Linked DNA regions of Danio rerio. The protein of the gene in region 2 binds, or shares a complex with, the protein of the main gene of each other region. Links are inferred from orthologs where the notes say so. Each region holds a gene or a part of one and is shown on either strand. Other genes may lie near its edges.

Evidence for each region.
Region 1: the proteins of prpf40a (region 2) and sf1 are in contact, whole or in part, in an NMR structure (PDB 8PXX), measured with the Homo sapiens proteins. The link is inferred for Danio rerio from reciprocal best matches to the Homo sapiens genes PRPF40A and SF1. Residues at the interface, in NP_001352526.1 of Homo sapiens: His164, Ser166, Tyr172, Tyr174, Ser181, Thr182, Trp183, Tyr213, Tyr215, Ser222, Arg223, Trp224; in NP_004621.2 of Homo sapiens: Pro575, Pro576, Leu577, Pro578, Pro579, Gly580, Ala581, Pro582, Pro586, Pro587, Pro588, Pro589, Pro590.

What each region holds. Positions count from the first base shown.
Region 1 is NC_133182.1:22,788,440-22,792,742, forward strand, and holds the start of sf1 (splicing factor 1), read left to right. Parts: upstream 1-1,392; 5' UTR 1,393-1,528; coding exon 1,529-1,775; intron 1,776-2,654; coding exon 2,655-2,783; intron 2,784-4,303. UniProt on the Homo sapiens protein: Necessary for the ATP-dependent first step of spliceosome assembly. Binds to the intron branch point sequence (BPS) 5'-UACUAAC-3' of the pre-mRNA. May act as transcription repressor.
Region 2 is NC_133184.1:4,703,436-4,707,263, reverse strand, and holds part of prpf40a (pre-mRNA-processing factor 40 homolog A), read right to left. Parts: intron 2,094-3,828; coding exon 2,029-2,093; intron 1,919-2,028; coding exon 1,754-1,918; intron 1-1,753.

The DNA.
Region 1 (4,303 bases), on a different chromosome or scaffold from region 2:
TCTTACACTATGGACAATTTAGCCTACCCAATTCACCTGTACCGCATGTCTTTGGACTGTGGGGGAAACCGGCGCACCTGGAGGAAACCCACGCAAAGGCAGGGAGAACATGCAAACTCCACACTGAAACGCCAACTGAGCCGAGGTTCGAACCAGCGACCCAGAGACCTTCTTGCTGTGAGGCGACAGCACTACCTACTGTGCCACTCCTTTGCCCGTTATTAATTCTAAGGGTTCGAATTATACAAATGTAGAATAATTAGCAAGGTCAGGATATAATGTAACTCAGTAGTGTAAATGGGAAAAAAATAAACTATAATACAAATAAAATCTAAGTTTTAAATGTAATTTTATCACTCATATAGACATACTGTATCTACCAAAACCTGACCTGCACAGTAAGAGTAGATAAGATACAGCTGTGTATATGTATATCATCATTTTTTGTGACACTGTATACCAATAATTAACATGTTTACAGTACTGTGACGGTTGGATTTAGGGTTAGGGTAGGGTTCATTTATTTTCATGAGCTAAAGGGTTCATTTAATCCCTTTATTTATCGGGGGTCGCCACAGTGGACAGAACCACCAACTTATTCAGCAAATTAGCAATTCCAGCGTTATGGATGTGACATTTGCAGTAAAATCTCAGAAACAATGCTCATCAAAAGGATAAGAGTTGGCTCATTATAAAACAAAAATGATTGATTTAATTTAATTTGACATTTTTCCATTTACTAGGCAAAATCTTCGTTATTGATGTGACAGATGTGGAATTGCCACTCATGTGATTTTGGTAAGTCAAATATAATAGTTTGAAAACATTAATGGAGACATTTTTGAGTATTTTAAAGCACAAAAACCCAGAAACAGTTTTGCTATTTTGTCGAAATCTTTTTTATTTATGGCAAGGTTGACATTTGCATGGAATTGCTCCTATGTTTTACACAGCGGATGCCCTTCCAGCTGCAACCCAATACTGGGAAACATCCATACACTCATTTATACTCATTTTCTCCACACAGAAAGGCCAACTGCCAAAGCTGGGGCTTGAACCAGTGACATTCTTGCTGTGAGGCGACAGTGCTAACCACTGTGAAAAAAACACTGTCGCCCTAATAAAATATGGGAAATGTAATTTTCGTTGTCTGCCAGCCATAACCGTATCTGATCTAGCTACAACCTGACCACACCGCACAGAAAGAGCCAACCTATCCTGGAACATATGGCCGGCTTGGCGACCAATGAGAGGTAAGTAAATTGCTCCGACGGAAACACGACAGACCTTAAATGATCCAATGAATGTTCCCCAAACACAGATTGACACGACTATCGACCAATCGGATATTTCTAAATTGACGTCAAAGCTCCTTTGTCGATCTCAGCGGACGCCATCTTATCCAGCGGGTGACAGAAGAAGGTTGCGTGGTCGGAGACACGCGTTCGTATCAATTGATTTATCAACAAAAGAAACGGATACATTCTGTGCAGATATCGAACCACGAAGAAGCCCCTGACGCCCAGAAATGGCAACGGGAGCTAACGCAACCCCGCTTGGTAAGCTGCACCCGAGCATCGGCGCTAAGCGAGGCTTTGACTCTGGCCCCGGTCCGGGGTTAATGCCTCCGCCTGGGCCTTCGGTGCCTTTCCCGCTGCAGAACTTCCAACCGCCACAATTATCAAATCCTGGGTTCCCGCAGTTTCCCGGAGCCGTGAGCTCTGCGCTCTCAAACCCTATCGTAGTAGGACAGCAGTCTCAAGCGGGAGGCGGAGGTAAACACCGTGGACAGGCCTTGACTCCTTCAGGATCAACGGCCTCCATTTATAAAAGTAGAATGGCTGGTTACCGTCATTAATAGTCTTACTTGTTTTTACAATGCCATTGCATATTAAAAATCTTTGGAATGTGTAATTATTTAACATGTTCATTTGGGGGATCAAAACTTAATCTAACGTTACACGTTAAAGTATTGTGTTGTATTTAACACTGAACTCTGAAATGAAATATGATGCAGAAAAATCTATTGTTTTGAAATCGAGCAGTGTTAACATTAGACAATAAAGTGCACACTGTTTTTTTTAATATAGATTTTTTTTTTTCAGTTTAGTGCATAATATGGTATAAAAAGGGTTGGGAGCTTTTACACAGCAAATGTACATGCCCAGACTGAACAAAGATGTTTATTACATTGCAGTGTTTATATGGCTAACGATGTTAAGTTAATATAACGTGGCATTTAGCAGCAAACTGCTTGCTTAAACTGCTAAAAACCTTAGAATGCTGTCTTAAATATTTCTTAAATTATTAGTATGTTTCGTAATATCACTTTTATGGCAAAGAATAAGTCCTTTTCCAGGTCTTTAAAGTAAAATATTTCAACATAAACAAGAGAGGCAAAGGTGAAAAATTGATGGAAATTTCAGACGGCACTTAAGAGGTTTTTGCATCTGAACTCTTCATATTTATAATTTCTTTTTAATCAAAGAAAAAATCCTATGTTTACTTTTTAAAAGTGTAATAATTCAATAAATTAAACATTTTGCATCATAAAGACATGGTGAACGTTTCTGTGAAGTTTTGGTCTTAATTTACAGGCTTTAGACATCCACAAATCAGACATAATGGCTTAATTTGTTTACATCCCCTGTCAGATTTTGGACAGAAGAAACGGAAAAGAAGTCGCTGGAGCAGCGAGACCCCTGATCAGAAGACTGTTATCCCGGGCATGCCCACCGTGATCCCTCCTGGGCTGACTCGGGACCAAGAACGAGCTTATATAGGTGAATATCTAAAATTTGCTATTACAACATCTGTCAGAGTCATAGAGTTTAGGTTGCAAATAATTTTGTATGTGAACGGGGGAATATTCTGTCTACACCCAAACAAGTCACTTTTTTTTTTTTTGTCCCAAAACTTGTTTATAATTTTTTTTCTCACAGTTTGCACATCACATGAAGGATGTAACTGCTTAATTTCATTAGTCTGACTTCTTTGCTGATACAACTGATGTCAAATTAGTGAAAGAACCTTTATGTTAAAGCAACAGTTCAAAACGGTCATCTCTATATGTCTCAAATGACTTTATAGAAATGGTCTTCTCAAAGAAGTCAATCCATCGAAATTCAGCACTTTGCCCCATATTTACTAGAATGCACTAACTCCATCAATGTGCAATGTGAGTGCCATTTATTTATTTTTGTTCGTTTAGGACACACTGAGGTATTGGTAGCACTGTCAATGTTTGCATATACCATCTGATGTCCATTAGCAAGAACCCACTGTGTTTTCTGATGTTGCTGCTTGCTGTGAACTGTCTCCAGCTGCAGAACTCCATCACTGCTCATGTTTACTATGCAAAAAATGTCTCGTCCAATTCGACTGCGAAAGCAATGCAGGTCCGATACTGAATTGCTAAAGTCATCTCCATCCCCTTGTGTCTGAAAGCAGTGTGTAGTAAATTGCTTTCTCATTGCTGTCAGGCACTTGTTTTGCAGTAGCATGTGGTGTAGTGTTTGTTTCGACTATAATGTGACCTAGACCTACATCTCTTTAACTACTCCTCCTTTTGACAACTGACACCTCATGTCTCTTACCCACCATCAACCTGCACCATTCAATGTGGGGTCCGATTCTCTTAAGCATGTCATAGAGAAATGCATGTGAAAGCCCATGAAATGCTTCCATGAGTGATGCAGTAATTTGGTTGGTTACAGGTCAGTCTTTGGGTTTGTACAGGCTGATTTGGTTGGCGTGGCTTGAGGCCTTAGTAAAATAAATTGCATGATAAAACGACCTGCTAAAGGCTGATCTGTTTGTCTTAGAACTTATTTATAAATATTGGATTTTACTTAATTGAGTAGTGTTTGTAACTACTGGTAAGTTGCTGACGTGTCAATAACTTGAGTGTTGAATGTAATTGTTTATGTATTGGCTTTTCACACCCAGTGTTAATGACTATTTTTTTAACATAGTAATTTAATTTCATTACGCTGGTGTTATTCTATAACTTTTTATATGAGGATGCATTTGCTCAAGCCATTTAGCCAATATGTTTTTTGATTTCTTCAAACACAACTTTTTTTCCCCCCTCGACAGGCCTTCATGTTTTTGCCACCTTTTTAGCTCATGTGAACTAATGTTTTTAAGGATATGCATAATGTGAATTTTACTTCTCAGAGTTGGTGGCATAAAATGGAAAGCCTGTTGCTATGATCTTTTTCTGAAATTGTTATTTGCTGAAATCCCTTCAGGTTTCTGAAATTAAAATTGGCTGAACATTTGAAACTTGAATTTCTGATTA
Region 2 (3,828 bases):
CCATTTCTTAAAGAGCCCCTATTATGCATTAAACAGGGTAATATTTTGGTTGTAATGGACTCCAACAACAGGCTGATATGCATACAAGGTCAAAAAATACTTTCATTGTCTTATACTATGCATTTATTTTTACCTAATTATCCCTAAATATCCCTATTTTTACCTATTTATCTCCTTAGAGCAAACCTAATCTGCGCTGATTGGACCGATGACAGTCTCTTGCGATTGGTCAACATCGTTTAGAGAAATGCCACCACGGCTTATCAACAATATTGAAGTAGTCAAAGTGCATAGTATGTGTGTGAGCATACCTGCCAACAGTCCTGTTTTTCCCAGGAGTCTTCCATATTTCAGACCTATCTTCCGCCACCCTCCTATTTTGTTATTTCTCCTGGAAAACTCCCGTAATTTCAATCATCCCAGATCCGATCGCAGCGGCCGCCCGAAACACGCTTCATAGTAGTTACTAACACCACAGTACACTGATCTCAGTGTTATTCAGACACTTAACCGCCAAACCTAACCCCCCCGGTCTCCCGGATTTTCAGGGACAAATGTTGGCAGGTATGTGTGCGAGCCCGATGTAAAAGTGCATTAAAGCAGTGCAGTTGAACACTAGCATAATGCTAAGTAAAAACAGTGACACATATTCAGCAATAATCAACACAATGCCCAAAGCTAAACTATTTGAAAATTGACCGCTTCACATGTGTAGGAACAGCTGATGATGGCCATAGCAATGACAAACGGCAATGGAACGCGAGCTCACAAACGCATTTAAATCAGTAAACAAAGAGGCACGTGGCACGTTTTCAATGTGGCATTAGACGCGATATGAGAATATAAAGAGTTAACCTGATACAGCACGCGCAGTTACAAGTAACAAAACACAATTAAATACATAATTTGCAAGCTAGAGAAAACAAGGAGGCAGCCATTTTAATCGCTTTTAATCGAAACTGATCTATGAACTGTGTACTGTAAAGTTCCTGTCAAGCTCCAATGCCCAAAGTCCCACACATCAATAGTCTTTTCTGATCCTTCCTTTAACAAACGGCTGTTGAATACCCCTTTGTAAGGGTGTAGATTGCTGTAGCACTGGTCAGAAAAATGACGGGAACACAGCACACAGCTCGGGCTATGATGCTGAGGTATTTTTGCAAAAATAAACTTCCAATCACTGACTCTTCACAGTTTCATCTTTGTGTATAGAAAATAACACTAACTTTCCTCTCATACTTCCAATAATATCAAGCTGAGCACAGCGTCTTCATGACTTGATTCAACCAGGATCTGCTGCAGTGTTTGTGGGCCAGGGGGTTAAATTTTCCCGTGTTTGCGAGCGCAACAAATTGGCTGGGCTTAAGTTCAGTCAAAACGCCTAAAGACTCGTTATCAAGACGATTAATTTAAAGCACTATGAGTCAACTCTTTTATAGATGAATCAATAGTTTTAAACACTGTGCACATTCAGATTTGAGCCTTAGCTGGATATTTCACAACACTCAGAGCTGTTTTACACACTACATAGAAGGTCATTTAAAAAACAAACAAAAAAAAAAAAAACATAACAGGGGCTCTTTAATTTTTATATATAGTAATGGCAAGTTAATGTCTTAATGTCTTTCTTTTTTTTTTTTTGTATTTGGATTAAATGTGGTGACAAGAGACTTTAACATTACCAAATCTTACAGTGTCCATTATTCAGACAGTTGTATATAAAGTTACATGTATATAATGTATATACACTCACTTGTATCGTGTGGTTGACGTCATCTTCTCGTGGTTCTCCAGGAAGCGTTGGAAAGTCTCTTTAGACTCCTTGTATTTTATTCTGGCTTCTTCCTTTTCCTCTTTCTCTGTCTGGACTTTATAAGCATTGAACGCCTGTTTCTTCTCACTGAGCTTTGGCAGAGCACTGCACACACACAGAGAAAGGGACGTCAGTGAAGAATCGCACAAATTTGTTTAACGGCGCAGGATGTAAACGCTAATAAATGCCAATAATGCTGTGCAGTATTTGGATACCTGTAACGAGGGTCATTAATTATCAGCTTCATTGCCTGCTCCCATGATGCATTGGAAGAAACGCCCTGTAGGCCACAAAGAGGGAAAAACAAGAAAAGTTACAAAAAACACAACACAGGGTTGGAAGAAATATTTTGATTGGGAAGAATAAAGTGCATTTTTATCATGGCTGGGCGATAAATAAATTGTCCATTAACCATGTGTAGTTTGCATCAATTAGTTTGAACGAAAATCAGTTTCACTCTAATGCTGCGTTCACACCAGATGAGGATGAAGCGTCAAGCGCGAATGATTTACATGGTAAAGGGGTGGTCCAGAATGAATGAAGATTTATCTTTGGCCTTTTTGACTGTTGCATTGTTTTGCAGTGTGTGCTGTCAAACAGCATGTAAACACATGTTTCCTGCAAATCAACTGCAAATTGTGGCATGTTGCAAAATGCGTTGACGTCAACTCGACTTTAATAACAAAGGCCACTTCAAACATTTCAAGTTCCAGTTCAACACTCCCACTCCCAGAGCAGAATAGGCTCACTCAGGGCTGTTTATGCTAATAAATCATTTAGATTTCATAAAGAACAATTAAGCGTCTTGATTATGTTCATGGCTGCATTAGAGCTGCACGATTCTGGCTAAAATGAGAATCACGATTTTTTTTTTGCTTAAAATAAAGATCATGATTTTCTCACGATTCTGTAGATGTAAAATAAAGGTATGGTAAAAACAAACATATGGCACAACATCGATAATAATATTATGTGTAGGTCTACTGGTTTCTATAAATAATTCTATTCTACTTATAATAATTCTGATGTTGAATTATTATGTTTGAGATATATGCTTGCAATCTGTCACATTAGACAAATTTATTCACTGGTAAAATCAGACATTTGCCATTATCAGATTATATTCAACAATATATAGGCTAGAGTAGTTATACTGACATTGTAAACCTTTATTTTCATGCACAACTGTGGGTTCGCTATGAAAGAAAAAAACATATCAAATGCTTGTCGTAATCATAACTCTTAAATGCGATATGATCATTTAAATGAAGTGCACACTTTCAGTTTCATTCTGACTGCTAAGTGCTTGTTCATACTTCGCGCGCGGCTCCCAACCGATCACTCTGTGCCAAAAACTGAATATTATTTGCAAGTGTATTACCCGTTACTCGCAACATATGCAGGTTCTGTTCACTAAAGTAGACGCGCGCGTCTATCATTAAGTAGAGCGCGCGTCTATCATTAAGTAGAGTGTGCGCCCTCTTTGTGATAACAGCTCACGGTCAGCAGCACACGTCACGTGTAATTTCCTGATTGCGAAAGCATCATTATATTAAGACAAAAATTACATTTTTAGGTGAATTATACCTTATAAATTCAGTATGTGACTCATTCAACATCATTTGGAGGTGTCAATGTCACTGAGCAACGTGTGTGAAACAGTGAAAAGACTCGTGCAGCCGCCTTTTCTTCTCTCCTGAACTTGAAAATATGATTGACAGAATCGTAGAAATACTGGATTAAGATAGTCTAGGGGGTCGAATCGAGATCGCGATCTTTTAACGATTAATTGTGCAGCTCTAGGCTGCATGTATTGAAATGAAAGGTGAGATGTCTAATAGCATTAATAAATAGCTATTGTTGATATTTAAAAGCTTATTACAAAACATAAATGTAGATCCACAGAGAGGAGAGAAAAGCAGAAGAATGAAAACAGAAAAAAGTGTGATAAAAAGGCTCGCAGAGGTAAATTTCCATGTTGACATCATGAATCAGAAAGTTCGTTATCCGTAATG